Linked DNA regions of Sus scrofa. The protein of the gene in region 1 purifies or fractionates together with the protein of each later gene. This does not show direct contact. Links are inferred from orthologs where the notes say so. Each region holds a gene or a part of one and is shown in the gene's direction. Other genes may lie near its edges.

What was found. Proteins that work in one complex are often made in the same cells at the same time.
Region 2: the proteins of TGFBR1 (region 1) and SMURF2 purify together in Homo sapiens (affinity purification with western blotting; 8 studies listed by BioGRID). This does not show direct contact. The link is inferred for Sus scrofa from reciprocal best matches to the Homo sapiens genes TGFBR1 and SMURF2.
Region 3: the proteins of TGFBR1 (region 1) and SMURF1 purify together in Homo sapiens (affinity purification with western blotting; 3 studies listed by BioGRID). This does not show direct contact. The link is inferred for Sus scrofa from reciprocal best matches to the Homo sapiens genes TGFBR1 and SMURF1.
Region 4: the proteins of TGFBR1 (region 1) and USP15 purify together in Homo sapiens (affinity purification with western blotting; 4 studies listed by BioGRID). This does not show direct contact. The link is inferred for Sus scrofa from reciprocal best matches to the Homo sapiens genes TGFBR1 and USP15.

What each region holds. Positions count from the first base shown.
Region 1 is NC_010443.5:240,858,137-240,863,809, forward strand, and holds the start of TGFBR1 (TGF-beta receptor type-1), read left to right. Parts: upstream 1-1,949; 5' UTR 1,950-1,964; coding exon 1,965-2,187; intron 2,188-5,673. UniProt on the Homo sapiens protein: Transmembrane serine/threonine kinase forming with the TGF-beta type II serine/threonine kinase receptor, TGFBR2, the non-promiscuous receptor for the TGF-beta cytokines TGFB1, TGFB2 and TGFB3.
Region 2 is NC_010454.4:14,476,000-14,481,052, forward strand, and holds part of SMURF2 (E3 ubiquitin-protein ligase SMURF2), read left to right. Parts: intron 1-2,611; coding exon 2,612-2,790; intron 2,791-3,742; coding exon 3,743-3,880; intron 3,881-5,053. UniProt on the Homo sapiens protein: E3 ubiquitin-protein ligase which accepts ubiquitin from an E2 ubiquitin-conjugating enzyme in the form of a thioester and then directly transfers the ubiquitin to targeted substrates.
Region 3 is NC_010445.4:6,057,009-6,062,061, reverse strand, and holds part of SMURF1 (E3 ubiquitin-protein ligase SMURF1), read left to right. Parts: intron 1-1,462; coding exon 1,463-1,501; intron 1,502-2,627; coding exon 2,628-2,736; intron 2,737-3,860; coding exon 3,861-3,994; intron 3,995-4,173; coding exon 4,174-4,239; intron 4,240-5,053. UniProt on the Homo sapiens protein: E3 ubiquitin-protein ligase that acts as a negative regulator of BMP signaling pathway. Mediates ubiquitination and degradation of SMAD1 and SMAD5, 2 receptor-regulated SMADs specific for the BMP pathway.
Region 4 is NC_010447.5:27,057,831-27,062,883, forward strand, and holds part of USP15 (ubiquitin carboxyl-terminal hydrolase 15), read left to right. Parts: intron 1-1,941; coding exon 1,942-2,115; intron 2,116-3,874; coding exon 3,875-4,033; intron 4,034-4,112; coding exon 4,113-4,337; intron 4,338-5,053. UniProt on the Homo sapiens protein: Hydrolase that removes conjugated ubiquitin from target proteins and regulates various pathways such as the TGF-beta receptor signaling, NF-kappa-B and RNF41/NRDP1-PRKN pathways.

The sequences.
Region 1 (5,673 bases):
GCCCAAGACATGTGATTCGATCCCTTTTATTTATAAACAGAGCAGGTACTATTGCATTTCCATTTTAGAGATGAATAACCTAATGATGAGAGAACAGTCACTTGTCTGAGACAAATCATGCATTCATTCACACAATTAGTATCTTTTGAGCTCTTATCTTAAGCAAGAATATTGAGAATAGAGCAGCAAAAAAGCAGTCTAGAGGCCTCAGGTGTCACAAGGCCCTGACTTACCAAGTAACTCCAATGAAGAAACTGGAACTGAAAAAGTAGATCCCTGCTGGAGCCTGGCAAAAGCAGGCTCTCCTAGGTTGGCCTGCCTGCTGCAGGGAGCCAGTGGAAAGCTTCCTGCTGGTGGTTTTAGGCAGCCTCAGAGAGCAGGCTAGAACCTTCCTTTCAGCAGCAGCTGCATCCCTGGGTAGATGGTTCAGTGTGTATGAATACCAGGCCCTTGCCTGCCCAGAGGAGAGGAGCAGGTGAGGGATGTAGAGAGAGGGCCTAGAAGTAGAATTTGAAGGGGGAAAAGAGGGAGTCCTAAATCTTAATATATCCTCTCACTAACTTTGGAAGATTGATACTATTTCCATTTTGTATAGATGAAGAAGTGGAGGCTCAGAAAGGTTAACTGAGTTAACTGAGTTGCTCAAGCCAGAATGGGAATAGTGCCAGTCTCAGATCTCAGCTTCAACACCCCTACCCTGCCTCTTTACTGCTCAGGAGGGAAGTCTTCACAGGCTTGTAAAATACTCACGGAGTATCGCTAGAGTAATTACAAATCAATACTAGAGGCTGGTTCTGAGTCCTGCTACCAAGGTTTATTTAATTCCAAGTTCAAATCACACAGAAAATAAAATTTTCTCCTTAAAAGGTTCTGTGGAAAAATGTTCTCTGTTCTGTGTAACAGCCTTCTCGGTTGTGTTTGTGTCTGAAGAGAGGACTAGTCTGACGGGAAGAATTACAAATCTGGAGCTCATTTTGGCGTCCCAGAGGGAAGGTGGGTGGAGCGTCTCACAGTAAATTAGGAATTCAGAATGAAAACGTAGCCGAGTTTATTTGGGTTTCTAGTGACACCTCAGAATTATTGTGCAGGCGTGTCAGAGGCAGCTCAAACTAATGACTGCTCCTCCTCCGCCCCGGGGGTGCTGCGTGCTAAGAACAGGAATCCCTCTCCTTTGGGCATAGGGATGAGGCTCTTCCCTTGCCCCGCAGAATCAGGAAGGGGGAAGGGGAAAGGAGTGTGGTTTGGAGCCCAGTCTGGGTCGGCTCTGAGTTCCGGAGAGGGGCGGGAGGCAGTTTGGGGGTGTGTCTGAGCTCAGGATCTGAGGTCTGAGGCCAGGATTTGGAGACTTTCTGGGCCTAGAATTTTGGGGTGGGTATCTAGGTTTTGGGTGGATGTGACAGCGGGAGGAAACAGTAGACTGGGTAATATACGAAAGGCACTGAAGCAGCATCGTGGGGCGGGGATTTTGAAAGTTGAGACGTGGATATGGGGAGGGGAAGTTGAAGCCTGCCTGATGGTACTAAGGATCTGGATGAATGTGGGGAATTGATGGTGCAGGGCTGTGAACTGGGGTCGGGCTTAGTACCACATCTTAGGTGAGAAGAAAAGAGGCTAGGAGAAAAAAGCGTCGAGCAGCCACAGCCTTTTTCCGAAAGCAACTCATACCCAGACACACCCATCGCTCAGCCCTTAGCTCTTAGCCCTTAGCCCTTGAAGGCGGGAGCCTCGGCAGCGTCTGGGCTAGACCCTGCCCCCACCCGGCCTCCACGGAACTCGGAGCTGCTCCTGCTGGGGCAGGGGTCTGGCTGCCCGGCCCCCCGGGAGTTTGGGGGCGTGACCAGTGAGCGGAAGCCTGCGGCTCTGGATTGGCTGCCCAGCGGGCCTGTGGGCGGTGCTCCTGGGTAGGTCCCGCTTGGCCGCTTGCAGACGGCGGGGAGGCGGGGCCGGCGGGAGCCCGACAGCCAATGGTCGCGCGGCCCCCAAGCAGTTACAAAGGGCCGGAGCGAGGCCGCCTCGGCGGCGGGGGAGGTGGGGCGAGGCGAAGCTTGTTGAGGCGAGGCGGCGGCCGGGCCGGGCCGGGCCACAGGCAGTGGCGGCGGGACCATGGAGGTGGCGGCCGGTGCTCGCGTTCCCGGCTGCTCCTCTTCGTGCTGGCGGCGACGGCCACGCTGGTCCCGGAGGCGACGGGTGAGCGGCGGCGCGGCGGAGCTGGCGGTGGCTGCGGGGCGCGCCGGCCGGGCCCGGCCTCTGGCTCGCTCCTTCTCTTTCTCAAACATGGCGCGGGGCCGGGGGCGCAGGTGGCGGCGCCCGGGCGGAGGCCGGACTTTAAGTGCCTGGCTGCCGCCACGCGAGCCGCGGGCGGGAGGCCGAGGCGGGGCGAGGGCGTGGGTTCTAGCGCGGGCGGACGTGCCCGGCAGCCCGCGGCCGCCCGAGCTGCAGACTCTGAGGGAGGTAGCGTCGGGCGGAGCCGTCCAGGGTTGGGGGCTGCCCTCTGGGAAGCGAGTGGGCGCAGGCCGAGGGCCCCAGGGTGCGAGGCTCTCCTGGACTTGGAGAGCTGGGGCTGCCCCGAGTCCCCGCTAGTCGCTGTGTGGCGTTGTCCCGGGCACCGCACCCAGAGCTGTTAGGTGCTTCAGGCTCCGGGGGCCCGGGCGGGGTTGGGGGCGGAGGGGGCTTCCAGGGCGGAGTGTGAGCTCCAAGTCTCCAGGGCCTCCTCCAGCAGTGGGAGGGCGCGACGTGTGACCCCCGAGTCAGCAGAGACCCTCGGGTCAGCAGGCCTCCCTGGCCTTCGGCGCCGGTCTGACCCAGCCGAGAGGGGCTGCTTCCTCATCCAGGGGTGGCTTTGGAATGGGAGGTGCTGCGAAGCTTTGTTTGAGGACAAGGAGGCACTGAGATGTGCGGAATGTTTCTTCTTTTCGTGCGTCTGGGGAAGTGTTGAAGTGAATCCACTAACCAGAAGGCTACAAATTGTTTCGTAGTAGAAACTTGAACGTTTGCTCACTCTGCGGGGTTTGGAATGTTTGAATGGAAATGACTGAGTTGATCACACGTTTTATTTCCTCGAAGGACATCTCTAGAGATGTTGCATTTCTTGAGTGACGGTAGTTTTCATCAGTTGTCTGTATAGCTGGTTTTCAAGGGAGAATGTTTGCTGCATTTTCCAAAATATAAATTGGGAAAGGGTATATGGTCATCATCTACCCCGTGGAGGGAGGAGTGAAAAACTTTGTTAGCATCCCAACTATAATACTAGAAACTGAAATATAGAGCCTTAGTATAAGCAACTAAAATAAGTTTCTCTTTCTGTAACTGAACAGCAAATGCTTTTGAAACAAAAAAACTCAGTACTTAGGGTGCCAGATATTACTATAAGCAGCTGTCTAAAGAAGACTTACTGTGGTATAGGTGCATAAGGTACACCAAAAGTGTACTATCTAATCCTCACATCCCTCAGGGCCCAGTGGCATTTGCCCCATTTTATAGATGAGAAAACTGAGGTGTGGAGAGGGTTAAGTATCAATTACTAAGAGCTGGAGTTAGGATTTGTACCAAGGGTTCAGTGTTTGCAAAACCTATACGTTTTAAGATACACACTTAACTGTCTGGCGAAGCCCATTTTTCTTTTTTAGTCCTCTAATGAATAATTGATTTTTATTATTCACTTTTAGATTTTGCCCTCATAATTAGAAAAACAGGCTGGCTTTTTTCTGGCTCCTAGTACATTTTTGGAGTCCTTTCACACCTGGCCTTCATTAGAGGAAACAGTGAATTTTTGACATTGGCCTGAGAAGGGGGTCAAGACAGGTGGGAGAATCAATATAGATATGCATCAAGCATAAAATTAACTCGAATAACACAGTTCACTCTTTTCCACCTAGCTTAGCACACAGAGTGTTCCTATATTCAAGTAACAATATTGGACTTCATTAATGTACAGAGCATGGCTTAGTCTGTGCCCTGGAGGAGTTAATAGACTACACTGGCATGCAGACAAGACAAAGCTGATCCAGGTGCTATCATCCTTAAGTCTAGACTATCTCAACTGGTCTGCCTGCCCTGGTAGGTTACGCTGATGTTTCCATTTATCCTTTCATACATTCTGAAGAAGCTCAGGTCTTTTTATTCATTTATTTTTAATTTTTTTTCCTTTTGCAATCATATCCATGGCATATCGAAGTTCCCAGGCAGTGGATCAAATCTGAACTGTAGCTGCAGCAATGCTGGATCCTTAACCCACTGTGCCAAAGTGGGAACTTCTCAGATGTTTTTTAAAATTTGTAATTTTAAACTCCTTTCTAAGAGTTTGTAGTTGTTCCCTCATTGTCCAGGTTATCAGTTTTGTATTTCTTTGCCCAGCTTCTCTCTCCAACATAAATTTCTCTAGGGAAATTGGTTCCTTGTCATTGGTGCACAGTTTAGTTACCAGTATGTCTGCTTATGTACCCATGTGAGTGTGCTCTTTCATAATGTTTTCTTTGAAAATATACCTGAAACTCAGCTCTTCTTTACATTAATGCTTCTTGAATGTTTCTTCCCCTCATTGGATTCAGCTGTCAGTTTAGTCCTGCCTCTTTTCCCTACCCCCAAATCCATTTGCTTTTCAGTATTTCTCTCGCTTATAGGCTGCTGCCAAGCTAATCTTCCTTAGCCATCCTCTCAAAGGGTTTACAGGATTTCCCATTTGTACTCAGTGCTTAGAGCAGTACTTGAGGCTTATGATTAGGGCCATCACTTAGTACCCAGAGATCTCACATCCCACTACTGCAAACCTTCTGTTTTCCCATTCCTGTGTTTTCCCTCCCATTCCTGGCTTTCTAGTCTTTTCACTACATATTTCATTTTGCCTCATTTGGAAGTATGAGGAGAAAAGTTCTCAATGCTGACTTCTGTACTGGTTTAGTTTGTGAACTCTACTTCCCTAAACTGTATAGCAGTAAGCTTAGTGTTGTCTGTTTCTATCATCTTGCACTGTTACATACTCTGGAATATAAGTGCCCAGAGAGCAAGGAACATACCTTTTATTTCCTTTGTGGTCTTGGAACCTAGCACTATGTTTAGTATTCAGTTCCTCTTAAATGCTTGTCAATTAAATGAATTTCATTTATCTTGAATATTCCTTTAATACTTATGCTGTTATATGTAAGTACAGTTTATAAGTATTTATTGAGAATTCTGTTTATACACAGGAAAATTATGTGATGTGAAAGAAGCAGTTGGTTATTAGTCCCAACATCTAGTTATGCAGAAAATGGGAATGGTACTTATTTTGACTAATTTATGAGATTGTGAAGATCAGGAGAGAAAGTTGTATTGGAGTTTGATGTTGCTGTTTTGTATTGTTATTAATAGGAGGGCTGATGTTCAACCAGCAGTTCCCACTGGGGCACAATGTGTTTATTTGGTCAGACATCCTTTCTGATTGGCTGGTACCACAGTGGTGCTAGTTGTTAATACTTTTAATATCACCCCTGCAGAGTGGCATCTGTATTTAAAGAGGGAAGTGAGTAGTCTAGGCTGAAGTGACTGGGGGGAGGCTTCCTGGGCACTTTAGGACTTAAACTGATTTTGATGGGCTAGAATTCATTTGTGGAGAGAGGGAGATTTGTTGAATGTTAAGCTCTTTCTTTGTAAACTGTGTCCGACAACTCCCCCAGGGCAGGAAGCAAAAGGTTATGT
Region 2 (5,053 bases), on another chromosome or scaffold:
TTATTATTGCTAATAATTACATGGTTCGTACCTAGGAGAAGGTTGCGACAGTTAAATGAGACCCTGCACATTAAGTATTTCGCACATCAGCAACCCTATTACATATTATAAAGCATTCAACAAGAGTTAGCAGCTGTTATTAATTTGTTGTTTTCATATTATTTTTATTACCTTCTCATACAAGTACATGTTATACAGCCACTGAAGTGATGTTGTGGGATAATAGTTAATGACATATAAAGATGGTATTTGTAATATATTAAGTGAAAAGAAGATTATAAAATAGTATGATGCAGTTTTGGTAAACACGTATATGTGTAAACATTGAAAGGTTCTACACTACATATTGATGGAGCTTATCTCTGAGTGTTGGTCTCTGGGTTTTTTTAAATTTTTTATTTTATATTGGAGTATAGTTGGTTTACAATGTTGTATTTTATTTTATTATTTATTTATTTTTTTTGTCTTTTTGCCTTTTTCTTGGGCCACTTCCTATGGCATATGGTGATTCCCAGGCTGGGGGTGGAATTGGAGCTGTAGCCACCGGCCTACTCCAGAGCCACAGCAATGCTGGATCCAAGCCGTGTCTGCGACCCACACCACAGCTCATGACAACGCTGCATCCTTAACCCACTGAGCAAGGGCAGGGATCGAACCCGCAACCTCATAGTTCCCAGTCGGATTCGTTAACCGCTGCGCCACGACGGGAACTCCTACAATGTTGTATTTTAGATGTACAGCAAAGTGATTCAGTTATACACATATATAGATATATATATATATACGTAGACTGGTTTTTAGGTTTTTGTTTTGTTTTTTTTGTTTTTTTGCTTGTCTGTTTTCTAAATATTTGTAGTGAACAGTATTGCTCTTTAAAAAGAGAAAGTTTTTTTTAAGATTAAAAAAAAGTGAGGCTTAAAGATAGAGGGTAGGGAGTTCCCATTGTGGCTCAGCAGTAACAAACCAGACTAGGATTCATGAGGATGTGGGTTCAACTCCTGGCCTCACTTGGTGGGTTAAGGATCTGGCGTTGCCTTGAGCTGTGGTGTAGGTTGTAAACGTCGCTCAGAACCCGCATTGCTTTGGCTGTGGTGTAGGCTGGCACGTGCAGTTCTGATTTGACCCCTAGCCTGGGAATTTCCATATACTGCAGATGAGGCCCTAAAAAAAAAAAAAAGAAAAGGTAGAGAAGTAAAAGAGTTTAAAATACATATATCCAGGAGTTCCCGTCGTGGTGCACTGGTTAATGAATCCAACTAGGAACCATGAGGTTGCGGGTTCGATCCCTGCCCTTGCTTAGTGGGTTAACGATCTGGCGTTGCCGTGAGCTGTGGCGTAGGTTGCAGACGCGGCTCGGATCCAGCGTGTGTGGCTCGAGTGTAGACCTGCGGCTGCAGCTCCAATTCAACCCCTAGCCTGGGAACCTCCATATGCCGCAGGAGCAGCCCTAGAAAAGGCAAAAAGACAAAAAATAAAATAAAATACATATATCCAATTAATAATACATGATGAAAAACCAAATCTATTCAAACATAATAGGCATGTTAGATTCATTGCAGGGTATTCTTTATAAAGGGAAGATATTTAGATAAAAGTTCTGCTTGGGGACCCCATTACTGTCAACGTAGTAATAATAGCTCATGTTTGTTGAGCATTTACTGTATGCCAGGTCCAGTGCCTTGAGCTTCATCATCTCATTTTACTCATCAGAGACTTTTTAGATACCATGATTACCCTCATTTTTCCAGATAAGGAAAATTAGTCCTACAAGGGGGTAACTTGCCCACATATGTATAGTTAGGAACTGGCAGAATCAGAACTCCAAGTTAGGTGTGAAATCTGTGTTCTTAAATCTGTGATGTTTTGGGAGTTCCCGTCGTGGTGCAGTGGTTAACGAATCCAACTAGGAACCATGAGGCTGTAGGTTCAATCCCCGGTCTCACTCCATGGGATAAGGACCTGGCATTGGCGTGAGCTGTGGTGTAGGTCGCAGACATGGCTTGGATCCTGTGTTGCTGTGGCTGTGGTGTAGGCCAGCAGCTGTAGCTTCAAGTTGACCCCTAGCCTGGGAACCTCCATATGCACGGGTGCAGCCCTAAAAAGCTAAATAAATACATAAAATTTTAAAATAAAATTTAAAAAAACATTAAAAAAAAATCTGTGATGTTTTGAAGTTCAGTTTCTGATTCGGTCAAGGGAAGAGGAAGGTATGGGATTGAAAGCTTTTTTCCCCATGACAGAGCCAGGATTGTAAAGGACTCAGGAGATGTGAGGAAGGGAAGAGAATAGGATCTGCAGGTGATTTAATGAAATGCAAAGGGCAGTAGTTTGAACCTTAATTTCTAAAGAAAAACTCTACAAAGTGATGCCCTGTGAGAGAGGCCTTGACACTGCTATAGTATTTTATAGCAATGGGTGGAGTATCTTATGCATGCCCTGTAGAAACTCTCCCTAATGATTGTTGGTTTTGATATTTAAATAGTTGTAAATAAGAGTCTAAGTTGATACTTCTTATTTTTCAAATTGCTGTTGCTTAAATACTTAATTTTTATTAAAATTCCCTTGATAGTGTTTACTTGAATATTTATATATAAATTCTTTTCAATTTCAGGAACATTTATCATATTTCCACTTTGTTGGACGAATAATGGGAATGGCTGTGTTTCATGGACATTATATTGATGGTGGTTTCACGTTGCCTTTTTATAAACAGTTGCTTGGAAAGTCCATTACTTTGGATGACATGGAGTTAGTTGATCCAGATCTTCATAACAGTTTAGTGTGGATACTGTATGTATTGAGTCTTGTGTTCATTGTAGTTAGAATATGAGCTTTTAAAAAACATACATGTTTCCTGGCTGGCTCAGGGTTAAGGGTTAAGGATCCAGCATTGTCCTACTGTGGCTCAGGTTGCCCTGTGATGTGGGTTTGATCCCTGGCCCAGCATGCTGAGGGCATGGCCAAAAAAAAAAAAAAAAAAAAGATACACATTTCAAAATGGATATGCTTTTTTTAAATTTAAAAAATGATGCACAGAAAATGTTAAGGGTGATTATCTGAGTGATAGGACCACGTAAGACTTTGACTCTTTGTGCTGCTTTTATGTATATTTCAAATTCCTAAAAGTTAGCAAGTGTTACTACTATAAAAGGGAAAAATCTAGTATATTCTGTTTTTAAAAGAACTTACATATAACAATTTCCTCAACATGATGCAAGTTCTGTTTCCATTTTGCGTGTGTTAGAATAACAAATTTCTGCTGAAGTGGTGATTGTTGAAACCATACTTTAAAAAGGATGTTTGTAAGAATCGGTTCTGTTTTTTGGGAGATCTTTTGTTTATGAAGCTATATTGGCCATACTTATTTTTACCGAGTACACAAGTAGCTTTCTCAGTGGGGTTACTCAGGCATTTGGTCACTCGGGTTACGTAGATTCAGGCAGAGCTTCTTACCTGAAAGCCAAACATAGCTGAGGTTTCCCCGTGTAAAGCCCAGCTTTCCAGGGCTTTCTCTTTGCTCTGGAAGTAAAACGTTCCCTGTGTTTATGAAGTTAAAGCTCTTTTGACTTTTCTGCCTAAGAACTAGGCGATACGGTGGCGTATTAACTAGTAAAAGGAATCTGACCCTATATTTGTCATGTCATAAAACTACCTTATTTTTTTGTCTCACCAATTAATACATCTGTAAACTCTATATTTTAGATTTTCCAAGGAAGTGTCTTTCTTTTTTTTTCCTTTCTAGTGAGAATGATATTACAGGTGTATTGGACCATACCTTCTGTGTGGAACATAATGCCTATGGTGAAATTATTCAGCATGAACTTAAGCCAAATGGCAAGAGTATCCCTGTCACTGAAGAAAATAAAAAAGAATATGTCAGGTAAACACTTTTATGTTCTTAAGCCAGAGGACTGTTTTAATGTTCTAGAATGGCAATACAGAAAAACATTTATGTATTTAGGCAGTGTTATAAAATAGAATGCTGCAGAATTTAGTGGCATAGAAATAACCACCATGTATTTATTTCCCACAATCCCGTGGGTCCGTAGTTTGGGTGGAGGACATAGCGATAGCACGCTGCTCCTCCACGGGATGTCTGTCACCTGGGGCCACGATGGTAAGAATGCCTCTCCCCTCACATAACTGATGCCTCACCTGGACGGCTGGGGGCTGGACAGGATGGACCCTTCGTCACCATCTGCGGCTTCCTTCTCACCGTTGGCTGGCTTCCTTGGTTATCCCCGGGTGCTGTCAGAGGCCTCTCACGCTCTCCTGGCCTCTTTCTCTGGAAACATAGCCAGACTTCTGATGGGGTGGCTGGTTTCTCAGAGAACAAAAGCAGAAGTTGTCAGATCTTTTTAAGGCCCAAGCCTGGAACTCCGCTGTATTCTCTTGGTTAAAGGCAGTCACAGGCCAGCCCAGGTTTGGTGTGGAGGAGGGACTGCCCAGAGGCACGAATACCAAAGACTCATTACTAGCACTTGGCCTATTTATACATAAGCATATTGTGAGTTTACATAAGAAATATATGTTTATATGTATTTCTTAAAAAGGCCAGAAAATGTTCTTGGTTTTACAAAATCACCTGTTGATGGGAGAGTTTAGAAGTGTTTAGTTAGATCATTTGGTTCATGGTATCTAAAGTTCTTCTAAATATTAAACTATGATGATCAGCTTTAAGAGGTAGAACTTGCCGTATGTACCAGAAACATGCATGTTATACTTTTTTGTACAGAATATGTCCCCAAGTCTTATTGGCTAAAATTTTCTAGTTTACATATGAGGCCCGTCAGTCTCATGGACTGTGACTAATTGGTACAGCTTTTTGGGAAAACAATTTGATACCACTTAGCAAAATGAAAACACATATGCCTTTTAACTAACAGCACCATTTTTAGGAATCTGTTCTTTGGAAACACATAAGTTGTTATTATTATTATTAGTCTTTTTGCCTTTTCTAGGGCTGCGCCCACAGCATATGGAGGTTCCCAGGCTAGGGGTCTAATCAGAGCTAGAGCCGTCCGCCTACACCACAGCCACAGCAACGCAGGAT
Region 3 (5,053 bases), on another chromosome or scaffold:
TTTAATAAAATAAGTGCACTATAAAACATGATATTTTTAAAAAAATAGCCAAATTCGTGAAGCTGTTTAATACGAGATATTGGTGCATTTTCCCTTGATAGAGTAACAGATCCGATGACAAAATTTCCTATCAGTAATCAATGCCGCCTTATTAATAAAATAACAATTGCATGTATTGCATTCTTTCTGCATGCCAGCATGTGCTAAATTCTTAACATGCGTTTTGTCATTTGTTTGTCACAACACTTGATGATGGCCCCGTATATTTTCTGTCACTCTCTCCTTTCTATTCTCCAGCATACCACAGGTGACATTCACAAAACTGTATTATTTATCAGAATATCAAAAATGTGCGCTCCCTTTTGTTGTTAGCAGTAGCTGTGAAGGTAAATCGCATAGGTCTTCATTTGAGTTGGTTTTAATGTGCTCCTTTGTAGATAGAAGAGCACATTGCTAGATGTAGCTGTATGCATTTAACTAAGATTTTAAGTTTTTTGGGGAGGGGGTTCACAAGATCTTTTTTTTTTTTGTCTTTTTGCCTTTTTCTAGGGCCACTCCTGCAGCATATGGAGGCTCCCAGGCTAGGGGTCAAATCAGAGCTGTAGCCTCCAGCCTACACCACAGCTCACGGCAACACCGGATCCTTAATCCGCTGAGCAAGGCCAGGGATCGAACTTGCAACCTCATGGTTCCTAGTCGGATTCGTTAACCACTGTGTCCCGACGGGAACTCCAAGGTTTTTTTTAAAAAATATTTTTTGTTAAAGTATAGTTATTTACATTTTGCTCATTTCTGCCATGCAGCAAAGTGACTCAGCCATACATATATATGCTCTTTTTTAAAACTACTATTTTTTATCATGGTCTGTCTCAGGAGATTGTCTATAGTTCCCTGTGCTATGAAGATTTTAAGTTTAAAACATAATTTGATGTGCTGTTGTTGATTCTAATTATTGGAGGAGAAAGCTCTTACTCGTTACTTGACAGTGTTTTGTTTACCGTAACCCTAAATTTCAAAGAATCAATGGCAAAGATAATCTTGAGGTTTGTTTGGTTTTTTGTTTTTGTTTTTTTCCTTTGCAAATATAGAGTAGTGCCTCAGTCAGTATGGGTTGCTCTAACAAAAGACCATAGACTGGCGGCGGAAACAACCAGCATTTATTTCTTGTGGTTCTGGAGGCTGGAAAAGCCTGAGACCAAGGTGCCGGCAGAGGCGGCTCTTGGCGAGCTAAGGGCCCTCTTCCTTGGCTGGTGGACACGGAGAGCAGAGGGGAGCCAGCAGCCCTGTGGGCTCCTTTCCAGGAGGAGGAGGTCCCCCTGGGGACCTCATCTAACCCCAGGCACCCTGGGGGCTAGAGCCGCAGCACGCGTGTTGGATGGGATGCAGTTCCAGTCAGAGCAACTGACTATGGTGAAAACCGAGTCCATAAATTCTAACCCTAGCACTTTTTGTTTGTTTTTAGTATTATGCGCCAAGAACCTTGCAAAGAAAGACTTCTTCCGTAAGTACACACCCATTTTTGCTTTCTTAGAATATTAATGTTCTTCAACTATTTCTGAAATTTAAAATTTAAAACCAAACAAATACACTGTGTTGTATTCTCCTGAAAGCCCTGCCTTCACTTCCCCGTTGGTTACGACTTAGAGGCGCCTTAGCTCCAAGGCGCAGGATCTATAACTCCTACACAAAGGACTCTCTCTCTTTCCCTGTTCTGGCCACACCCTGTGTCCTCTGTCTTTCCATCCGTCGGTATGTTGCCTTCTGCTGGGTGAAGTGTTCTCACTCAGATACAGATGAGACATTTTTCTGTAAGTCTGGAGTAAAATTGTTAGTCACATTTTATAAATTCAGTCACACTTTAAAAGCCTTGTAATTAAAGGAATCTTAAAAAAAAAAAAAAAAAAGATCCTTTTCTAAAGGAAGGACTCTCCCCTTAAGAAATTCACCTCGTGTAGAGGAGGTGCCTGGGGCACGAAGTTGTTCTCGTGCTTTCTGATCGTTGCGGGAATGCTGCTTGGTTCCTCTGTGGTTTTATTCACACTCGCAAGATGGAGAAACTGAGGTTCACAGGCTTTATTCAAGTAGCCAGGAGTTCCAGAGTGATGGGTCACATCCAGGTGTGCCTGTGCAACCCTCACCTGGCCGCCTCTCTGGTCTTTTAAACCTGTCTGATTCATTCTCCAGCATTTGGGCACTTACCTAATTAAGACCTGGTGAATCCTTGCTTCTGTGTAGATAAAATAGACCAAGGCCAGTAAACAAGATTTCTAGGTATTATTATTTTTTTAAGAAAGGATGAATAGAATTAATTGGAGACACCTTTTCCTCTGTTTAACTAGGATCCTCAGAAATGGAAGTTTGGATTGAAGCCTATTTTTATAGTTTGCATTTCTAGCCTCCAAACATCTGAGCAGGATATCATTGTGGGTCACTTTTCCTAGAAAAGCTGAAGGGAAATACCTTATCTTGCTGATCAAAACTAACCTTACATTTGAGAATCATAGATATACCAGGGTAAGAAGCTTCTTTACCAAATTAGATGATCTCGAAGCTCCCCTTACCTGCGGGCCTGTGACCTGTTGATGCATCTCTAGCCTCATCCGGTGTGGCTGTCCTCTGCCCCTTAGGACTCCCCGACCCCTTTGCCAAGATCGTTGTGGACGGATCTGGGCAGTGCCACTCGACGGACACTGTGAAAAACACGTTGGACCCCAAGTGGAACCAGCACTACGACCTGTGAGTTTGACTATCCTCTTAGCCACTTGCGCAGCGCCGGGAACCTAGGTATCCAGCTCGTAAGAGAAGCATGTAATTCAAAAAAAAAAAAAAAAAAAAAAAAAAGAGCAGTAACTAACTACTTATTGCGAAAAATGGGGATAGGCAAACAAATACACACTGCCTGCTTTTAGAATTCATATTCCTGGAAGTTCTTGGATTTGATGTTTTCAGACATGTTTATGGTTTGTGTCTATAACTGTGATCTTCGAACTTTCAATCTCCTGGCCCTTCTCACAGGAAAAAAGGGCCATACTTTCACGGCTTCTCTGTGCTCCTGCTTTTCAGTAAAACCCTGAACATGGTTTTCAAATACACTGCTTAAAATACACTGTTATTGTATGTCGTTATGACGTGACTATGTCTTTTCTGTCCATTTTCTAAAATCCTGCTTTTAGTACAAATATAGTTTCTGCAAGAGAAAATAGTTTGATATGACTGAATGTCCTAAGCCCACATTGCGTTCTGTCATTAAATGGATGCGCTTTGAAAATCACTGTTTTATAGGCACCTGTGTTCACATCCCTGCTCAGAAACTTTTGTTAAAGTTACATTAAGTGATTATTGGTTTTTTTATTACACAACCTAAACTGGGTTTGAGTGGGATTTTTCATTAGTTGGATCCTAAGTGTCACTTTCTGTTACCCCGAAGCCCTGGCAGTGACCTGGGCAGTGGCTGTCGATTCTCGACCTGAAAGCGCCCGTCTCTGGTTGCCCTGCACTGAGTGTGGGCTCGACCGAAGGGCCTCGGGTGGATGGAGGGAGGCAAGGAGTCCTGCATCACAGACGAGTGCTCTCCATGTGAAGCCTAGGCGGTGGGAACTTACGGATCCTGCCCTTAGCTTCGGAACTGTTAAAACATAGTAGGTCTCCAAGATCACTGTTCTCAGTGTGGGGTTGTCTACACCTGTGTCTCCCACAACCGGATGTAGTCCTTTCCCTAAGCCACTGGCCTTAGTAACACACGTTTATTGAGCCAGCATTATTTTCAAAGGATTCTCCTGTACTAGCAGGTCAGATAAAACCCCAGCGGGCTGTCCTAAGTGAGAAATACAGTCACCAGAGAGCTTGCGTGTTGTTTTCAGATACGTTGGGAAAACGGATTCCATAACCATCAGCGTGTGGAACCACAAGAAGATTCACAAGAAGCAGGGAGCTGGCTTCCTGGGGTGTGTGCGGCTGCTGTCCAATGCCGTCAGCAGACTGAAAGACACAGGATGTAAGGCCCAGGCGCTTTTCTGCCTCTTGATGTAACCGAAGAAAGCTTACGAGGCATCCTTTTCTTTCGCTCTTTCTTTCTTTCTTTCTTTTTTTTTTTTTTTGTACTAAATGCAGAACTCCTGCCTTCCTCCCTGGTGTACCTTTCCCTGGGTTAAGTTTTGAATTGTTTGTTTGCAGACCAGCGTCTGGATCTATGCAAACTAAATCCCTCAGATACTGATGCAGTTCGTGGCCAAATAGTGGGTAAGAACTTTCTCATCTGTATAAAGCGATACTTTTACAGAACGTACCATTCAGCTCTTCCTCACCGAGGAAACACTCTAAGGCACTGACCCATGGTGACACTGAAAGGACAGACCACCCTCGGGGCCCATCTCTGTCCAGTACTGAAACGTTTCATCTCGTGTGGTTTTTTTTAAGTATGTTACCTGGTGCTCTTCAGTCTGTCATTCAAGGTGGAGTTAAAGTGACCGAGGTACAAAAAAGACGGAGGGTTATAATTGTTAGTGTCATTTTTAACCCTCACGCTGATGGGCAGTTAGTTGTCATGGTACCCAAGGGTAGGTGATAAAAACGGTGGCCACACACGCAAGTGCTGAGAAAGAGGCTCTTGAGGAAGACCCGCCGAACATGAAACAGGCAGAGGCGGTGTCTGCAGACTCCAGGCGGTGTGATTTTACGGAGTCAGGACTGAGCGGCTTAGAATGAAGACGTGAGAGGGGCTCCGTCGCAGACTGCTGACCAGAGGTGTTCTGTTGGAAGGAAGGAATCCGCTAAGCCGCTCGTGCACGTATCCACCCCATTTTTAGGAGCGTTCTGGGGGCAGCGCAGACGTGGCGAGGCATCAAGACAGAGTATCCCCGCCGCACGCCAGTGACTTAGGACCCCAGACCCGTAGCTGTTGTCTTAGGTGGACCTGACCCGGGATCAATGAGCAGAGCGTAGCGTCCTGAAAACTCCCCTGACGACACAGTCCTCACCCAGGGCCTCTCTGCGGGCCATTTCTTCTTGTCTTTGGGGAGGGCCGGGCTGGGGAAGGCCGGATACCTGGAAGGGG
Region 4 (5,053 bases), on another chromosome or scaffold:
TGAAGTGTTTGGTAAAGCACTAGGTTCTTTATATAATTGTGTTATACACAGTAGTAGACTATTCTATTATTAATACAACCCTGAGCTGATCAAATATTGGGATTTGAAAACTAATTGATAATTGTTGTAATGCTGTCTGACCTCCACTTTGCCTCATTGACAGTTTGCTATAGATTTCATTTATACGGTGATACTACTGAATGTTGACATTTGTGCCCTGTGTAGCCATGGTATCTTATAGATTGCCTAGCCCTGCCTCCAGTGCGGGGTTTATAATTAAAAGGACATACATTACAAAAAAAGAAAGAAAATGAAACTCAAAAGGCCTGTAAGATTATAAGGTTGAGATATAAAATGAATTAAGAGGAAAGGTAGAAAAAAAAAAATATTTTCCCATTTACCTCCTACATGCACTGTAGCCTACCTCTATCTTCCTTTGTTCACATAAAAATTTTTACTGTAGCCTACCTCTATCTTCCTTTGTTCACATAAAAATTTTTACTCTTGAGTATTACTTGTAAATAACTGTACAGCCTGAATAGTTCACCTCAGACACTTTTTAACTATTCATATTATTTCCATAGCTTAAGAATAATAAGTTACAAGTTCCATGATATTATAAAAAATTCTCCCTTTTACCCTGAGGTGAGGGCCAGACTAACAATTTGAACAGTATTATTTTTGATTGAAAGTTCCAGAATAGGTATTGTGTACACATAAACTGATTTAAAATTGAAACCACAAAATGTAACACTGTAATTTATTTTTTAACTGAATATGCTTAATTTTGGAGTTTTAACCAAACATACGCATATATAGTCATAGCTTATAGCATCGACGTTATCAGCATCAATGCAGCAGGCTGAATCTTTCATAGTTAGAAAAATTTTTTAACTTAATCCATATGAGTGGTCAGTAAGCTTTGAAAAACTTTTATTTACATTAATATAAATCCAAAATCTTGTAAGAATGGGTTTCTACTACTCTAAATGCAAGCAACCAGCTTCAGTTAAAGCACTTTGCCACTTGTCTCCAACACAGATATCTTCCTGCAGCCAACGAAAAGGTTACCTATATGACCATATGTCTGCATCAATCATTACATATTCTCCTTAATGGCTGTAGACGTCTAATTGATAAAGTAATGTTGGGTTCAAAATGAAGTCACATTATATGGTATTATCCACTTAAAATTATTTCATCTTGAGATAAAATATTATGGAAAAACTGTACTTCTGTAATCTTTTATTTTAAATCCTAAATTATTTAATTCAAAATAGAACAGAGTTGGAGAATTAACTTCTTTATAGTTTCAGTCTTGCTAGAAAGGAAAATTAGATTGTTGTGATATTCAAGAAGAACTGGAAGAAGTAAAAATATAGCCAGAGTGTGTATAACAAAAGTTTGTTTTCTTAGGCTCAGCTAATCTGTACTGTCCCATCTAAAAATGGTTGACCCAAAAGGAAGGTTTAGAAGGCTGCTCTTTCATGATAAGGAATTGACAATGGAAGCAGTAAATACCTCCTTGAATTTCAATTCTCCCACGTACTCCATGTCAGTTGTTACCTACTTAGGCTAATTTGCAGATGGACGGGATGATTAGGCAAATCCATAATTTCTACCAGCCAAGTGAAAGAAGGAAAGAAAATTCTGAGCTTCTCACCCCATTAACAGGTAGTTTGCTGTGGTTAAAATTAAATACAGATCCTACAGCAGTGAATAATTAGTATTTTCATTTACTATAAGTCATTTTAAAATTTGGGAAATAAATAGTTGAGTACATCATTTGAATGTTTATTGGATCAGTTACTTATTAGTGCAAGAGACCATCATGTAAATTCGTCTCCATGTATTATGGCAAATCACTTTGTTAGTTTTTTCATTTAAACATGTTTAACATGTGTGGTTTCTTTTACTTGAAAATATATTTATTCTTTGCAGTGTTTGAGCAATACACCACCACTTACCGAATATTTCCTGAATGATAAGTATCAAGAAGAGCTGAATTTTGACAATCCCTTAGGAATGAGAGGTGAAATAGCTAAATCTTACGCCGAATTGATCAAGCAAATGTGGTCTGGAAAATTTAGCTACGTTACACCAAGGGCCTTTAAGGTAAGTATCATAAACACATTTTCAACAAGGCCTGTCTCACCCTCAAGAGGACAAAATATTTGGGAAAGGGGAAAAAAAATCATAGCTGTTACAGTGGTTTATGACCCCCTAAAGGGACATGACACATAAATAGATACACGGCGTATCTGGTATTAGATTTTCAGAGTGGGGCTTGAAATAGATGATTAAATGTCCAGGAAGAGTTGTGGGGGATAGTAAATGAAATTGTGGAAAAAGGTTGAGAAACACTGGTATGGTTCAGAATGACTATAGAGAGACAGCAGTGAACATTTACAGGTTATTTTATTTTATACAAATGCAGAGACTGAATTTCAGCATGTCATTAAACTCTAAGAACTAAATTTATTTTGAGAGTCATTGTAAGTTTGAAAATTATTGAAATGAAACTACTCTTCATTTAAGCACAAATATTAAATGTATTTTCAATATAATTCTTAAACCTTTAAGATTATTCTTGTGAAGTGGTTATTTCTTAGAATCAATAAAATTTCAAGTAATTATTTTGTCATTCAGATAAAATTGAACTGAAATATAGTTTTATATTGTTAAAAAAACTTTTAATTATATAGATAAGATTTATGAAAAATTTTAAACTTTTGAGGAGAATAAGTGGTTTTCAGCCATTTTTTAATACAACTTAAATGATGTTCATATAGGGCATCTACTAGGCAGCATTTTATTAACATTATACTAGTTCTTCAAAAAACAAAAACAAATCAAAAAACTCCTGTGCTTATCTTCCTTAACTTTCTAAGCCTTGGACAGACTAGTTTAGACAAATCATTTCTTAACCATTACCCATGATTCCAGTTAGTTTCAGTTTGCAAGATGTTCTGTTTTAAAATTAGGTGTAAATAGGTTCTTTTTTTTTTTTTTTTTTTTTTTTTTTCCCCTCCTTTCTTTTTAGGGCCATATTTGCAGCATATGGAAGTTCCCAGGCTAGGGGTTGAATCAGCTGCAGATGCCGGCCTACACCACAGCCACAGCAATGCCAGATCCTGGCTACGTCTACAACCTACATTGGCAGCCCTGGACTGGATCCTTAACCCACTGAGTGAAGCCAGGAATCAAACCTGCATCCTCACAGACACTAGTTGGGTTCTTAACTGGAGCCGCAATGAGAACTCCAAGTAGGTTCTTGTTATTTGACGTTGTTCTTTCACATCAAGAAAGTGAAAAAGAATGTATGTATATGACTGGGTCACTTTGCTTGCTGTACAGCAGAAATTGGCACAACATTATAAATCAACTATAATTTAAAAATACCAAAAAAACAGTGCTGTAAAGACTAGGAAAATATATGTGAACATTGATATTCCTTTTATCTCTATGAGATTATCTTCTCTTTACACACAGAAACTAAATGAGAGCATTGTCTTTTTTTTCCAGTGACTCAAAAAAATTACGGAATTTTAATAGTGTTTAGTGTTTCCCAATCCTTAGTACAAAACTGTACTGTGTTTTCTCCTTGTTTTCTCCTCAGGTCAACTGTTCTTTTCTATTTATCATTTTTAAAATGCTTTTAGGTATGCAGTTATTTACATGTATTTATCCATATGTAATCATCATATCTGTAAATGACTGCAGAAATGCCACAAGTTGATTTTGAGAGTTATAAGTAAAATTTTAGCAAGTAGCTGAATTCACAAACATGGAATCTATAAATGAAAGTCAAGTATATATTTTTGTAATCAGTCTTGTCCCTGGAACTGATTTTATGGTTTTGTTTTTCTTACAGACTCAGGTAGGACGTTTTGCACCTCAGTTCTCTGGATACCAGCAGCAGGACTGTCAAGAACTATTAGCTTTCCTATTAGATGGACTGCATGAGGATTTGAATAGAATTAGGAAAAAACCATATATACAATTAAAAGATGCTGATGGAAGGCCAGATAAGGTAAATTTAACCATATTATTGTCACCATTGATATAATAATGTGATACCTCTGTGTAATATGTGTCTGTTTTCTTTATAGGTAGTTGCTGAAGAAGCCTGGGAAAACCATTTAAAAAGAAATGATTCTATCATTGTAGATATATTTCATGGCCTTTTTAAATCAACTTTAGTTTGTCCTGAATGTGCTAAGATTTCAGTAACATTTGATCCTTTTTGTTACCTGACACTTCCATTGCCCATGAAAAAAGAACGTACCTTGGAAGTTTATTTAGTTAGAATGGATCCACTTACCAAACCTATGCAGGTAAGAAATGATTCTTTTCTTTTCTTTTTTTTGCCTTTTCTAGGGCCGCTTCCCATGGCATATGGAGGTTCCCAGGCTAGGGGTCGAACTGGAGCTGTAGCCACCAGCCTACGCCAGAGCCATAGCAATGCAGGATCTGAGCTGCATCTGCCACCTACACCACAGCTCACAGCAACGCCAGATCCTTAACCCACTGAGCAAGGCCAGGGATCGAACCCACAACCTCATGGTTCCTAGTCAGATTCGTTTACCACTGCGCCACGACGGGAACTCCAAGAAATGATTATTTTCTTGGCATTTGTTATTTTTATGAAAAATTTGTGATGAGTCCTTATGCCTCAAACACAATTAGATAAAACTAAGCTTTTTTGCATGAGATTTTTATAAGATAAATACTTTGGAAATCAGTACAACTTTTCAGGATCTTGAAAGGGTGAGCAGTGTGCAGAGTATCATTATTTGTCATGTAGAAAAAAATTTCTCAAAGGCTTTTTCTTATCAAAGAAAAATGAGAGTGGTTTGACTTAACAATGTTGGTATGAATATTAGCTTACAAAGATTAATAATGTAGTGTTATTTTCCCTATTTCCCAACTTGAACTTTCTTTAATGTTAATTGTAATTTTTTTCCTAGTGGCTATGGAAGTGAAAATAGGACTGTACATTTTGATTCATGATATGATAAAATAATGGTAATATTTAAATACCTGTAATTTT